Stegostoma tigrinum: one gene and its partner. The protein of the gene in region 1 purifies or fractionates together with the protein of each later gene. This does not show direct contact. Links are inferred from orthologs where the notes say so. Each region holds a gene or a part of one and is shown in the gene's direction. Other genes may lie near its edges.

Evidence for each region.
Region 2: the proteins of nmnat2 (region 1) and fbxo45 purify together in Homo sapiens (co-immunoprecipitation; 3 studies listed by BioGRID and IntAct, with this or other methods). This does not show direct contact. The link is inferred for Stegostoma tigrinum from reciprocal best matches to the Homo sapiens genes NMNAT2 and FBXO45.

Annotation. Positions count from the first base shown.
Region 1 is NC_081361.1:45,721,286-45,729,477, reverse strand, and holds the start of nmnat2 (nicotinamide/nicotinic acid mononucleotide adenylyltransferase 2), read left to right. Parts: upstream 1-5,118; 5' UTR 5,119-5,241; coding exon 5,242-5,326; intron 5,327-8,192.
Region 2 is NC_081367.1:5,059,185-5,066,927, reverse strand, and holds the start of fbxo45 (F-box/SPRY domain-containing protein 1), read left to right. Parts: upstream 1-4,702; 5' UTR 4,703-4,745; coding exon 4,746-5,321; intron 5,322-7,743. Other genes in the region: d2hgdh (D-2-hydroxyglutarate dehydrogenase, mitochondrial), read left to right, coding at 1-153. UniProt on the Homo sapiens protein: Component of E3 ubiquitin ligase complex consisting of FBXO45, MYCBP2 and SKP1. Functions in substrate recognition but also plays an important role in assembly of the complex.

The DNA of each region.
Region 1 (8,192 bases):
GTCATTTTTTATTATTTCTCAGGATTATTAAGAAATAAAATTCCTTTTTTTATTCGAAATTCTTGTAATTAGCTCATTAATTGTGAGCTAGTACTATGATTAATTGATGTATGATTTGGCTGCTGCTGCTAAAAAGAGTTAAACATTTGTTTTGTGACAAACCAAAGAGGATTTAAAAGGGGGGAGCTGATTCAGTGCTCTCCACTAGGTTACACTGGGTTGTAACACTAGAACATGCTGCTCTAAGAAATTGTCCTGAAAACACTCCACAAACTCATTTTTCAGGCTGCCTTCGCAAATCTGATTCATCAAATTTATTTGTAGATTAAAATCACTGCAGATATTGCCAGATATTTCTCACAGGCTCCCAGTATTTATTCCTGAGACCCTCGGCCTACAGTGTAGTTACTGTCAGAGTGCCTATAAATCATTCCCTCATATAACTTCTTGCCTTCATTATTTCTCATCTCTACTGAAACAGATTTTTAAACATAATTTGCTGGAACCATGATGCATTTCCATACTTATTCATAATTTGATGCTATTACAACCGCAATTCCCACAATATGCTCTCACTGAAACATAGTCCACTTGTTCCACTTTATATTTGCCCTCGATCCATGGGAATATTTCTTCCTCTTTGGCTTGGCAGTTCTCTTCGACACACTTCAGAATGTCTTCTTTCATTTTGCCACCATTATGTATTGAAATGTAAATTGGACTAATTGAAATCTGCATATCTGTTTTATAATTTGCATCTCTGTTACTTGACTGTAAACTTACTGCTCTAACTTCATTCCATCATTTGATGGTGTATAGTATATTTCAGAAAGTGCAATCACTTTTATAATTTTCTTCAGTGCTAACCAAAAGACCCTGTCTTAGGCTTCAACAACACCCCCTCCAGTGCTTTAATCATTCACTTGTTCAACATTGCTACCACTCTCTTTTTCGCCCTGTCCCATCTTTGCTGAATTCCAATGTAACCAATTCATTAGGTTTCTTTTATTTCCACTGTATCAGAGCCCCAGCAAAGTTTCCTCTATGCTTCTCATATCCATGGACGTACAACAATCTGGAAATGTACCACACATTATTGAGGAAACCATTCATAATTGAGAGCTGAAGCAAGAATGGGGTTTTCAAATGGCAAAAATGCAAGCGTCTGGAGAAAATGGGAGAACATCGGCTGTAACTGGAGTAGAGGCTTAGCTTGAGGTGCAGAACATCAGCGACTGCAGGAGAACCTGTGATTGGAGGTGCAGGAAGAATGGGAGACAGGGGATCTGACTGGAGAAGCAGTGAAGATGGGAGAATCTACTATTGGAGGAGAAGCAAGTACACACCAGCTGTACCTCAAGTTTGGAAACTCTGCAGCCAAAGTTGAACAAATGGAGGCATTTCCTGAATCATTTCCAGGACCCATCACTTCCTGGAGTTCCTAAATGGAACGGCAGGCAATGGATTTTGATTGTCCCATCAATTTTCTTTGATAAATTATTTTAGAATGACTGCTTCCCTACAATGTGAAAACAAGCCTTTCGGTCCATCAAGTCTACACCACCCCTCCAAACAGTATCCCACACAGACCCACACCCCTACCTTTCCCTGCAACTCAGCTAACTGGCAAATCCACCTAGACTGCACATCTAGAATGTGCAAACTCCACACACACTGTTGCAGAAGGCTGGGAGGCAGCTGTGCTAACCACTGAACCACTGCACTGTAATTTGTCTTTAATTATTAGCACCTCCTTCCTCATGTATCCTGGATTCTCAACCTCTAAAATGTCTAATTTCTTTATTTACTCGCTGCATGGTTAAATTTAAATATTACAGAATGATGCAAAGGAATGAAAGAAAATGATACTCTGTCATGTTAGAATATGCAATGTTTCCGACAAGACTCCCGTCCAGATTGAAAAAAATTTATTTAAACATGATTGGAAATATGCACTTTAAACTGCCCCATATGCCTTTAAAATGAAACATGTTTTAGAGGTATTGTCGCATATTTATTCTAGTACGTTCATTGTTTAAAACGTAAATTGTTTCTGGGTAGATTATTGATTTTCTAATCATAGGAGCAACACAACTACATACGAGTTGTTTACTACGAATTATGCTATTTTAAATGCTCTCTTTGTTATACATTTAAAAAATCCTGAACGTCAAACATAAGATTGATATGAAACTCTCCCCGGCTGCATTGCCTTGTGGGGAATTGGTTAAATTTCATCATGCACTTGCGCAGTTGATTGAGGTCTTAAGGTTTTTTTGCCTGCGAAATGTTGAAGCAATTAGTTAGGTGCAGTATAATTAACTGATTGTTGCCAATAATATATTGCAGTGTTTTATATAATAAAAACGTGGACTTTCTCAAAACGATTGCAGTAAGCCCCCTTAGACTGACTAGTATTTTAGTAGCTGTTAACGTCCAGGTGAAACCTTATTCAACCTTATTCAAATTAATCTCCCCAGTTTACAATAACGTATACGATTTCCTCCATTTAGACCTAAACAATAGAAATAGAAATGAAATTACCGTACCACAAAATTGTTACTGCATGGAGGCCATTCGTCGTGGTGTGTGTGTGCTGACTCTCTGAATGAGAGATGCCACTCCCTTGCTATTTTCATATAACCCTGCATATTCATCCATTTCATATAATCAATTTCCTCTAACTTTTCGACTGAATCTAGTTCCACTAATCTCTCAATTAGTGCATTTCAGATTTTAATCTCATGTTGTTTGAAAGGTTCTCCTTTGGTCTGTCGAGTTTTTTTTGCCAATTATCTTAGATCTGATGCAATCTTATTCTCCATCCTTCCAAAGGTGGGAAGAGATTTTCCCAATCTATTTTTTCTGTGCCTATCGCGATTTTGAATACCTTGTTCAGATCTCCTCTCAACCTTCTCTTCAAGCAGAACATCCCTAATGCAGCTACAGAGACGGTAGATGCATGATAGTAATCTTTCAAAAATCCAGAGACTCTGGAAAAGTCCCAGATGACTGAAAGTCTGTCATTGTAATGCCCTTATTTAACATGGGAGAGAGAAAAAGCGGTTATTGGTAGACCCGTTATCTTAAAATCTATTATAAAGGAATTAACAGCAGAGAATTTAGAAACACATTATAATCAAGAAGAAGCAGTATGGTCTCATGAAGGGGAAGTCATACTTGACAAATTTATTACAGTCATTTCAGAAGGTAACAGGGTAGATAAAAGTGAACTATGAAATACAATATACTTTGATTTCCAAAATATATTTGATAAGGTACTGCACACAAGATAACTTAATAAGAAAAAAGCCCATGGTTGTTGAGGTAGTGTATTGCCATGGGTAGAGGTATAGCTAACTATCAGAAGACAGAGTTAGGAGAAAAGGGACATTTTCAAGATAGCAGCCTGTAAATAGAGAATAACCACAGGGATCGGTGCTGGGAACAGAAATACTTAGAACTTATATCAATGGCTTGGACGTGGAAGTTAATGCACCATAGCAAAGTTTGCAGATGACGGAAAAATAGGTGGGAAGGCAAGTGGTTAGATGTCACGAGGAGTCGACAGACATTGACAGGTTAAGTGATTGGGCAAAACATTGGCAGATGCAATATAAGGTTGGAAACTGTGAGGTTATTCACTTTGGAAGGAAGAATGGGAAACTTGAGTATTATTTAAGTGGGGAAAGATTACAGAGAGCTGAAGTGCAGAGGGATTTGGGAGTCCTAGTGCATGAATTACAAGAAGCTAGCAGCCAAGATCAGCAGGTAATAGGGAAGGAAAGTGAAACATTGCCTCTATTTCATAGGGCATGGGGTTTAGAAATGGGGAGGTTTTGCTAAAACTCTACAAGGCACTAGTCAGACCGCAGCTGGAATATTGTTTACAGTTTTGGCTTCCTTTTCTAAGAAAAGATATACTGGTATTGAAGGTATTCCAGCAGTTGATCCCAGATATGGAAGGATTTTCTAATGAGGAGAGGTTGAGTAGTTTGGCCTTCTATTCAAAGGAGTTTAGAAGAATGAAAGGAGAATGTTTTGAAAAATATATGATTCTAAGGGAAGCTTGACAGAGTAGACATGGAGAAGTTGCTCCCCACTGTGGGAGAGTCTAGGACCAAAGGGTATAATCTCAGTGTTTGAAATTGCTTGTTTAAGACAGAGATGGGGAGGATTTTTATTTCTCTCAGAGTTTTCAAAAATAAATTGGATAGATTCTTCAAGAAAATTAACTTGTGGGGCTATGGGGATCAAGTCCAGCAGTGAAACTGACTGGAATGTTCTGTTAAGAGCACTATTATAGCAGGCCAGCCAACAAGTTCCTCTCGTAAATGACTCAAAATAATCCTAATAGCGGCTTGTCTAGTTTTTCAGAGGTTCTTGATTCCTGGTACCATTCTAGTAAATGTTGTCACACATAGAAAATTGAACATTTATGGCCCATCATCGCAATGGCAGCCAAAGAAAAGCTATCCATCGTTATGCCACTTTTCAGTTCTTGGTCCAGGGCACTGTGGGTTGAGTAGTGATTATCCAACTTGTTTAAATATGTTGAGGGATTCTGACATTATCCCGTTTCAGGGTAGTGGGTTACAGACATCCCCACCCTCTGGGTGTGAAAAAATCCACCTGCCGGCCAATCCATTTGCACGTGTACAGGTTACCATGACCAAGATGTCGAAATGGTAATGAATGGAACAGAGTTGTGACAAAGTTGACTCTGAAATTGCATCTTGCTCATTTTCGGTTTTCGGTTTGACCTGGAACAGCAGCAACGTGAAATCTGGGATTTGTGCCGCTGCAGGCCAGACTGAAGGGAAATCGGATTCAGACAAACAGAATGGTCACGCCTCAAGCGGAATTCTAATCCCGAGGAGGTAGAGGTGCAAGGTTGTGGAATAGAGAGGGGGACTATAGGCAGTTATGTTTTGAACCTTTCTATAGAGGGGGAAAAAAGCCCTCAGATCCTAGCAGCACAACATAATCACTATAATTCACACCCCCGCGCGGGTATAAAGTGGGGCTTTATAAAGTGAGAGAAATAGAGGGTGGTGAAACTCAGCAGGCGAACGGGGACAACAAGCAAAGAAATAAAAGGGGGAAGCGCTGCCTCCGGATCAATGGGTGACGCAGTAAGCGTGAGCAGTGAGGCAGCCGGAGCTGGCAAACAGTGGGAGCGGCGCCTGCAGACACTGCAGACACCAGCCAGACCGACAGACAGGCAGGCAGGCAGTGAGCATGGCCGAGCCCACTAAAACCCACGTTATCCTGCTGGCCTGCGGGAGCTTCAACCCCATCACCAAAGGACACATTCAGATGTTTGGTAAGTAACCCACCCATCGCCAACCGGTGCTGCTGCTTCGTCTTACGACGAGAATGTCTCTGCACGTCGCTCCCAATGAATCGCTTAATCCATTCACTGAAAACAGAAACCTGCGTCTGACCAAAATCCTCTTGAAATGAGGAGGACGATGGAAAGTGAATGTGGGAAGAGTTTGCCCTGGTTTCAGCCAGCTGCTTTCCCTTTGTTCGCTGTCCAAGGCATGTGGTGCTGAAAGACACAGCCGGGAAAAGCCTGCAGCACTCCCAGCCCAGTCCAGCGAGCTAACTGCAACATCACAACATTTCCAAACGATGCTGAAACTTTTCCTGTTTATCTTGTTTCCAAATGACCCTGACCCTGCTCACGCCCTGGTGGAAGACAGTCTCGGTTTTGGCGGTGAACATTAGTACCAGCGCACGTGTCTGTTTCCTGCAGGATACCCGTGTTTTTGTTTTATAACCCTTACCACCACACTTGCCATCTCCAACAATTTATTTATGTAGATTTACCGGATTATTTAGAAGCAGAGGAAGGCTGGATTCCTTTGCCCCACTTTTTTTGTGTCGATCGGTTGTATGTATTGTGTGAAAAGTCCATCCTCGTAGGTCCAACGGCACTTTGGGTCTAATTGGATGATTTGGCAAGGAGTCGCAGCGGCCTGAGTGCTGTGAAATGGATGTAAGGAGAAAGAAACACCTAATAAATAGGGGAGTTGTTGCGCGGAGTCCTTTTGAAACTATTGGTACCCGGGAGTTGGAGATGGTGTACAACCTAAAAACTTGATTGTGTTTTATTTTTGCCCATACACAGTATTTTGATGCGCTCTTTTATTAAACATAGTGAATGTTTCGGCGCGCACAGAATCAGTAAGGACTTGTAGCGTTCTTAGTTTTTAATGCTGTGTTAAAGGTAGGATGGAAGATTGTTGCCGTTTGTTTTTAAAGCAACTGGATTGCTGCAGTTGGATGACGAGCTGTTTTAGCGGTTTCTCAAACTGGAGAAGGCGGTGAGGGGATGGATGGTCAGTGTGAGGGTAGGAATAGGGGAGCTGCCTGATGGCAGGTATTTGGAAGTTTTGACGGATGGAGTGGCGGGTGCCGAGGACAGCACAGGCAATCACAGGCACTTTGGGAGAAGTGGAAATTTCCAGTGAACTGCCGAGTTGCCAGGCTGCAACCTCACGGTGGCTTAATTGTACACACAGAGAAACTCAGTCACCCTGATATTGCTGAGCCGCGATACTAACTGGTTCCCTTTTTTGTTCAAGCATGGAATATGTAAATCTTATTCATGCACAGGCATTAATCGCCGCTGCTCGTATTCTAACCGTTTGTATCTGCCTCCTTCTTCGAGCAAGACATGCCCCGAATACCTTACTTGCCGGTGTTGTTCCATGTCTAGTAATGCACTTTCAATGCAGCATCAGTGATCAGAAGCCGAATCCAGGATGACCTTTAGTGTTTAATAGGCATTGCACAAAAAAGACAGCCTTTAGGAGAGACCATGATAAAATGGCTGCTTGATATTATCCATGCAGTCACAGTAAAGCAATGGACAGTAATTAATAACGTGTCAACAAGATAATTAAGTATCTGGGCCTCCTATAGGTGAATGTCTCCAGTTAAGATGATGATGTTTGTACATTTTTAGTAGATTTAGAATCAAAGTTTTTTTTCTTATTATTCTATGAGAGCTTATAATTTGAATTTTGAGAGCATTTCCGAGTCTGCAACATACCAGATAGGCAATCCCGATACTATGCAAAACTGCAGAAATAAAGTATTACTGGTAATTACTGGTAATGAAAGACCATCTGGATTGCAGAGAGATGCACAGTTAATGTTTGTGTTGTACATAATGTACTGATGCATTTTGCGTACATGCACTGAGGCAGAATGGATTTGTTATTACATTCCAGGCAGGTTGTTTACAGACCTGACAGGCTTGTGTGAAATATTTCAGACCCAGTTTATTTGGTTTAATTTTTGAAATGATCTGTGATAGGATACAGATAATAGAGCATTATTAAAGGTCTGTATAGAAGGACCTGAGATTGGAGCCATAAAATTTAAGATTTTTTAAATACATTTTAGCTGGTTTATTTGTTTTGCTATTGTGTATGTTAACATTTCTGTGTAGCTTAAAGTTAAAGCCTTTTCAATGAAAATGTGCTGATGCAAATCAGCCAAGATAAAAGTGCCTTTGTTACTAATTGGTATATGTTTAGATGATTACAGCATTTGTAAGAGAACACAAATGAAACCTGCCATGGATTGGGTTAGTTCAAAACTAGAAGGAATAGGTCTGAGGAACTCTTGCATTATAGCTGAAAAGTATTATTGAGACTGACACACACATTGTAATCACAGGACAAATGTCTTTATTGTAATTCCATAGTAATAAATGTACATTTCATGACAGAGCCTTGGTTAAAATGTTTTTGTCTGAATGCAATACAATTGATTACTTATATTGTAGAATTTAGTTGAAAAATGAAAAGTAAAACACCTTTGAAAGGAGAAATTAATTTCTTGTTTTACCTAATATATTTCATAAGGGAACATGAGAGTCATTAAATTAATTAAAATGACATGAATGTTTATGATGATAATTTGAGAGCTTAGAACAAACAATTAAAGCAGGTAGCGTTTAGAAGAAAACCAATACTTCATTCTTTGGAAATTAAAAGTGAACAGTGTTCAGGGGATGTAATTGATGTTATAATGGACAAGAGAGCAGAAGTGATCTGAGCTGGCTTGTGTTTATAAATAATTTAAAAATAATGCTTTGCACCTGGAATAATTCAAAGAATATATGCTGCAGTGCTATTTTAGGAAAACATGCTTTCCACTGTTTGAATCAAATG
Region 2 (7,743 bases), on another chromosome or scaffold:
CATGGACTTGGCTTCAAAAAGAAGAACTGCATCTATTTCAGTAAGCCCAAGGAAGCAGTGGACTTGATGCAGCAGATGAAAGCGATTCTGGATCCAAAGGGAATTTTAAATCCCTATAAAACCTTGCCATCCTTCACTTGGTCAAGTCACTGATGAGAGCAGAGGTTTTATTGGGAGACCTGACTGCAAGTTTTCAATTTTTACTTCTGCTAACCTGTGCTCATCCTGATGGAGACTATTGTAGCTGAAGAAGAAGAAGATCTTACATTAAAGTTATTATCGAGCATTTGATCATGCCAGATCCAAGTTGCACTTCTGTTAGAAAAAAATTAGAATGTGGATCTATCTAGCACCTTCTGGATGAACTGAAACACTTCTTAGTCAATGAATTTCTTCCAAACTACAAACTATTGTCATACAGAAACATGGCAATGAATTTCTCTCCATCGAGTTCCCACAAATATCAGTGTGATCATGACCGGATAAACTGTTTCAGATTTTGATTCACCATGGGAAAGCTGTCTTGCTGTTCTTCAGAATTTACGTTCACTCCAGAGAATAGATGAGACTTCAGTAACAGTGCATTCCCTCAACACTACACTGGCACCAGGTTGCTCAACTGAGACTTGAACCCATCACGTTGTGATCCAAGGTGAGTGCTGCCCAGTGAGGCAAGGCCAACAATTAGCTATCAAGCCCCACCCCTTTTAAATACAGCAGCCTCTTGGAGGTGACCAGGCACCACCACCACGTTTTGCCAGTGGACCCATGTCTGCTACAACCTGATTGAGTCTGCACAAGGATCACACAGAATTTTCATAGTCAAAAGACTGGACAATTTCATCCCAGGAGTGTAAGTGAGATTCAGAGCAGAGTGCTGAGTCTTTAATCTCCACTGCAGACACCTGGGAAGTACCTGAGGGATGAGCTGACATTCCCTGCCCAGATCGCTGTGAAATTATATTGTGAACATTCGAGAACATTGTTACCAAGCAAGATAGGAGGAAGGAGGATTCAACAGAAATAAAACCTGGTTTTATGTGGCATCTGCTTACAATGTTATGTGTGAATTACCAGAGTAAGCAAAACTGAATAGTGGAAATCTAAAACCGAAGTTCAGACAAGAGTCCCAACTGAAATATTGTAATTCTAGTCTTTCCAAGCTTGTGCTGATTTTTCAGCAGCTTTTGGTATTATGGGTGATCATCACTGCTGTTTGTTCTGTTTAACTCTGTGAATTATTAAGTGATCAATGATATATAAAAGTCAGATAGAGGAGATCCACAGTTTTGAGAAAAATCCTGACAGGGCAGAGATTGCTGGGGGGGTAAGTACAGTGACATTTTTGTCACTGAAGTTGAGCACCCATTTTACAGTCTGTTGCATTTCATTAAAAAAAAGGACTGACAGCTTTTGGGGGTGTGCTACACTGTCCTTATCTCAGGCCTGGCAGGTATGATTAGTCAGTGAGCATTTCCACCCATGTCCTTATCTCTGGACCCCGCAGTTGACTCCTCGACAGGGCCAGGGACACAGCTTTGTAACAGTTCGGGCTTCTTCCCTTGGTTTGTCTCCTGGGACCTCTGTTGGCCTGGACTGTCCTGCACACACACCCCCACCTCCCCAAACACCATATTCGTGGCAGTGCTCCCTGTTCAGCCTTGCCCTTGTTACTGTTAGCCTTCTTCTGATCCCAGCATTCTTGCTTATCAATCAAATGCTGCTTTTTACAGGAAATGGCAAATCAGCCTGGAGGATAAAAATTGCTCAGGCTGTTACTCATATGTGCAGGGTTATCATCAGCTTGCTGCAAGAGTTAAAATCAATGCTTGTACATCAGTTGGTCAGTGTACTGGGTTTGAAAGAGGTTGAGGCAGTGGTGGTGTCTGGGAGAGCAATAACCTCTGCATGTCAGTAGGTCAGATTGTGGAATACCTGCACTTCTCTAGGTTAAATACAAGTCCCTCAAGTGGTCTGTTGTAGGCATGGATGTTAATTTTGCAACAATACACAGATTGATTATATCAATTGACTTTAATCATATTTCATGTTCTGAATGTTTTACTTGTTGTACAATAAAGCATCTTCCCAAAATTAACAATGCAACACCTCACCTTCATTTATCCTCAAAGCAATTGCAAAGGGAAAATTTATTTGACCCCATCCTCAAAATTCTACCTGTCGTAGATGCATTTGTCCATGAATATTGGTCATGACCACTGCACAATCTGAGCAAAGATGAAGTTCTATCTTCAACCTGAGGCTAACACTCCATTGTGTTATATGATACCAGCACCGTGCTGACTAGGATAGATTTCAAACAGATCCAGCAAACTTGAAACTAGTAATTCATAAGGTGCTGTGGGCCATCAGCAGCAACAGAATTATGTCGAAGCACTATCTGTAACCTCAAGGATAAAAGGCCACATTAGGAGGTTGTTATGAACCTATCCAGGAATGCTTGAGTGCAATATTAAAAAAGATCATCCTTTGACGGCACTGAGTTCCATATTCTTAAGTTTAAATGTCCAGTAGACACTTTGAATGCTGCAGTGAAAATCGGAACAGGAGTAGGCCATTCAGTCCATCAAGCCTGCCTTCCCATTTAGTGCAAGCATGGTTGGTTGAACTCTTTGTTTTTCCACACACCCAACCCTATTATCCTTTATACCATTGATAATCAGAAATCAATCTTTACCTGAAAGATACTCAAAGACAAAGCCCAAATATTTGGAGTAGAGAATTCCAAAACTACACCACCCTTAATAAATAAAAGTTGCGCCTATCACTTTCCTATGTGACATTCCCATTATTTTTAAATTGTGCCCCTGGTTCTAGACTCTCCAGCTATGGGAAACGTGTTACTTGTGCCTACCGTGTCAATCCTTTAGGTGTTTTGCAGATTTCAATTAGATCACCTCTCATTCTTCAACTCTACACAATACAGGCTGACTTTGCCCCCATCTGTCTTCGTAGGACAGTCCCACTATCGGAAACAAGTCTTGTGAATCTTTGGTGCACTTCCCCAATGGTGGTAATATTTCAAAATTGATTGAAATTTTGATTTGGGATTGGGGGACACCATGATGGGTCAGATCCGATGGAGTTGGTTGGCAGTGTTGGTCAGGGGTGGAACATGAGTTTGCCTGGTGTCAAAATGGTGAAGGTGGGATAGGATGAGAGACGAGTGGCTAGATGGAGATGGAGTCCGGGGATAGAGAGACGAAAGGAGTAGGCAAACAAGGGGATTATTGATAGTAAGCCAGGACAGAAGAGAAGCTGAATAAAGGATAATAGTAGGAGAGAATGGGTAGGCTGTACTGACAGCAATCCATTGTCAATGACAGGACCAGAGTGTGGGGATGTAGGAAAAGGGGCATGGAAGGACATAATCAGGCTGTAAAGTTATTGAACTCGATGTTGAGTTCTAGAGCTGCAGGGACCCCAGCAAATCGTAAGCTGCAACTTCAGTCACCTGCATGGGTTACCATGACCAGACACACATTCTCCTCCCCTCCTTTGTCAGCATTCTGTAAGAACCCTTAGTCTACACCTTCTCCAGTGCCATCACTCCCACAGCGCCTTCCTATAGAATCTCAGAAGGTGTAAAACCTGCCCATTTACTCCTCTTTCCTCACAATCCAAGGCTCCAGATGTGCCTTGCAGGTGAAGTGGTGATTTGCCCGTGCTTCATTTAATCCAGGCTACTGTATTTGTAGTTAACACTTTCATCTGCTCCACACCAGGGAGATGCAATGCAGACAGCATGACCACTTTGTACTCTGTCCGTAAAAATGACTCCCAAGTTTCCAGTTGCCTGCCACTTCACCACACCATCATGTTACCTGGCTGACATTTTCGTCACAGGTCTGCTGCAGTGCTCCTGTGAGTCTCAGTGCAAGCTCGAAGAACAGCATCTCATCTTTCACTCGAGGTCCCCGTAACCTCTAGACTCAACAGCAATTTAAATAACTTTAAAACTTGATTCAATCCTTCTATGTTTCCTATTCATCGCCACATCATTGTTCTGTCATGACATAGGTTGCTTTCACCACGGCCTACTCATTCTCTTCTACTCATTGTCACTTATTCCGCTTCTCTTCTGTCCTGGCTTACTATCAATAACCCCTAGCCGGCCTACCTCTTTCATATCTCTCTGTGTGGGCTTGTTCGCCATCCATCCTCTCACCACCCCCGCAATCTGTCTTCACCACAAACATCACTTTTTCCTAGTTGGTATTAGTCCTGATGAAGATTCATACCAGACAGGAAAGGAGAAGTCAACGTTTTGAGTATCACTCTTCTTCGGGACCGAAACGTTGACTTTTCCGTTCCTCCAGATGCAGCCTAGCTTGCTGTGTTCTTCCAGCTTCCCGTTTGTCCACCATGGTTTCCAGCATCTGCAGGGGTTTTTTTTGGCCTGGAAACATTAACTCTGTTGCCAGACCTGCTGAAGTTTTCTCCAGCACTTGCATTTTGTTTTGTTAGGGTCGCTTCCGGGTTTGTGATTCTCCTGTTCATTGTTCCGATCGTGGCCGTGTAGAGGGGGGAAGGGTCACGTGGGCCAGCGGGCGGGGTCCCGGCCGCGACGTGTGTGGGGCGGGCACGTTCCCGGTGGTGCGTCATGACATCACAGCCCTGCGTGGTCGCGGGCCTTGCTGCCGCGAGGGGTGGCGCGCACGCAGGACACGTTGGACGTTGTCGGGGCCGCGCGTGCTCCCCCGCCGGCGGGGGGGCGGGGGAAGATGGCGGCCGGGAAGCTGCCGGCCCGGGTGTTGGAGCTGCTCTTCTCCTACCTGGAGCTGCCCGAGCTATTGAGCTGCTCGCTGGTTTGCCGCCACTGGAACCGCTGCCTGGAGGCGGACGAGAACAGCGAGGTTTGGAGGAGCGTGTGCCAGCGGCTGCTGAGCGAGGAGGCGCTGAGCTCGGACATCCTGTGTAACCTGAGCAGCTACAAGGCCAAGGCCCGGGCCCTGCGACACGCCTGGAGCTCGGCCGACTGCTCCCGCAACGTCTACATCAAGCGCAACGGCTTCACCCTGCACCGCAACCCCATCGCCCAGAGCACGGACGGTGCCCGGGCCCACATCGGCTTCAGCGAGGGCCGCCACGCCTGGGAGATCTGGTGGGAGGGACCCCTGGGCACCGTGGCTGTCATCGGTGTGGCCACCCGCCGCGCCCCCCTCCAGTGCCAGGGCTACGTCGCCCTGCTGGGCAGCGACGACCAGAGCTGGGGCTGGAACCTGGTGGACAACAACCTGCTGCACAGCGGCGAGGCGGCCGGCAGCTTCCCGCAGTGTAATAACGCGCCCAAATACCAGGTACTGTTGCTGGGGGAGGGAGGGGGCACCGGGAGGGAAAGGGGTGGGGAGGGAGGGGGCACCGGGAGGGAAAGGGGTAGGGAGGGGAGGGGTAGCAGCAAGGCGGGGGGGGGGGGGAGGAGGTTGCTGGTGGGGAGGAGAGCTAGGGATCGGGGAGTTTGGGATGAGTAGAGGGTCAAGGAACTGGGTAGGGCTGTCAGGAGGAGGTGGGTTTAGCGTTCAGGGAGCTGTGTGAATGGGGAAGGGTTTAGAGAGACAACAATGGGGAGGGATGGGGAACATTAGGGTAATCGGAAGATCTTTGTGTATTATTTTATGGATTCTTAGCTTGCTTCCTGCGTGTCTGTGTAGTGATGCAGCGAGAGGAAACACGTCGCATTTGTTAACAGTAACCCACTATTTTTCAGGAACACAAACAAAAAACACTTTTTTTTCTCAAGTAGAGACGTTCTTTCCAAACTCTTTCAATGGAATATGCAGCATTAACAATGTCAAAGATGAACATTTATCAACCCCATTTGCAATGTGTGTATATTGTCTCTAGTCATATGCACTTGCATTCTCATTCTGATTTTTCAGGTTGAAGTGCCATTTTTACTCACCCTTTGTGTTTCTAATGCCTTTTGAGCATCTAACTCAGGATCTTTGCATGTTGTCATTCATGAGCTCCCAACATTAAGAAAAAATGTAGGCCAGCAAACCTGTGCATCATTTGGGCTCTCCATCTCTAAGAGAATTGTTAGGCAAGGTTATCATTGCTTTCAGAATTCATCAAGACATATTACGTTTTGTTTTAAGCAGCAGATCATGACATCATAAATCCTGGCCTCGGTGACGATGAATGGAATCCCCTGTCAGTCAGGCTGGGAGGTTATGATGTTAAATGTATCTGGGATGCATTTTACTCAGATAATTTGCATTATGTAACTCTCCGTCAGTCACTACATGATTCTAGGGAAGAAAATCTTCCTGCTGTGTTCAGGAGATTCTGTTTGTAATTTTATTCTTGTTTGACACATCTTGTGGACTAAAACTACAAGACCCATCAAGCTTCGAACTGACACACTAAGACCATTTTCACTATTTTTTTTAATGTCTTGAGAGGAAAGAGAAAAACGTTGGAGTTAAAATCAGAATCTGAATTGCACACAGCCCAGCCTTCCTGGAGGCAGCTTGCAATTGACATAACAGCATTTGACATTGATTCAATTACATGAGGTCAGTTACTGACCGAATAGATGAAACCCACCATTAGAATTAGAGACTTTTAGCTCAGTGACTGAAATGTTGATATTATTGCACATTCCATTAATGTACTTAACTGTGTACAGGGAGATGTGGGGGGTGACTGCTTATAAATAGGCTCTCTGTGTCTCTAGATTGGGAGTTACGTAATGCAAATTATTTGTGTAAAATTCATCCCAGTTACTTCCAGCAACACAATCTCCCGGCCTGACTGAAAGAGGATTCAATTTATTGTCGTTGTTCACAGAATATACTACAAGCATATGCTATTCCACTGAGTCCAACTAATTTGTTCTGCATTTATCTCCGCTTGAGCCTTTTCCCTACCACTTTAAATCCTCTAATCCCAGAGCTATCTGGCTCTTAGGTTTTCTGCTTAATGCAAAAGATTGACACCCTGTATTTATCTCAAGTGGTGGGTGAGAGGAATATGGTGTCTATACATGAGTTGGAGCAAGAAAATGAAGTTTTTAAGAATTAAAATGGGCAGTTGCAGTTTTAATTCTGTCATGACAAATAAGGCGTTAAAGATCTTCATTCATAGAAATTGTTTGTAAGCCTAACTTAGCATAAATGTTCAATTTTTCTTCCTTTTCTTATACCTGAAATCTGAGGTGAGGTGAAAATTCTTCAATTCTGATAAACTCATGGATGCTTCCAGCACGGAAGGAGGCCATTCAGCTGATTGTGCCTGCAGCAGTCAACAGTGGTCTAACTACGTTCTTGGCTCATTGCCCCGAAGGCTATGGCACCATAAGTCAATATCTAAATACTGCTTAAGTGCTAACGAGAGTTTCTGACTGAGCCTCACTTTTAGGCAGTGAGTTTCTTCAACTTGTATATGAATATCTGATGATATTGTTCATCAATATGCTGTGCAGTTTATTTAGTTTAAGGTATTTCTAGCTGCTTTGTTCTTTTAAAATGTATTATATCCTGTTCGCATGAGTGAGTCTACCTGAGTTTCAAAAGAGAAAAATCAGACTGGTGCTATATGGAGACTTTAAACTAAGTAGTTGACGCGGGTTCTTAGGAGAATACTATTTCTTAGGAGTATACCAAATGTTACCAGATTTATGAGACAATAATAAAAATTGCTGGTAAAGCTCAGCAGGTCTGGCAGCATCTGTGGAGAGAATTCAGAGTTAATCTTTTGGGCCGATTGACTCCATTCTGA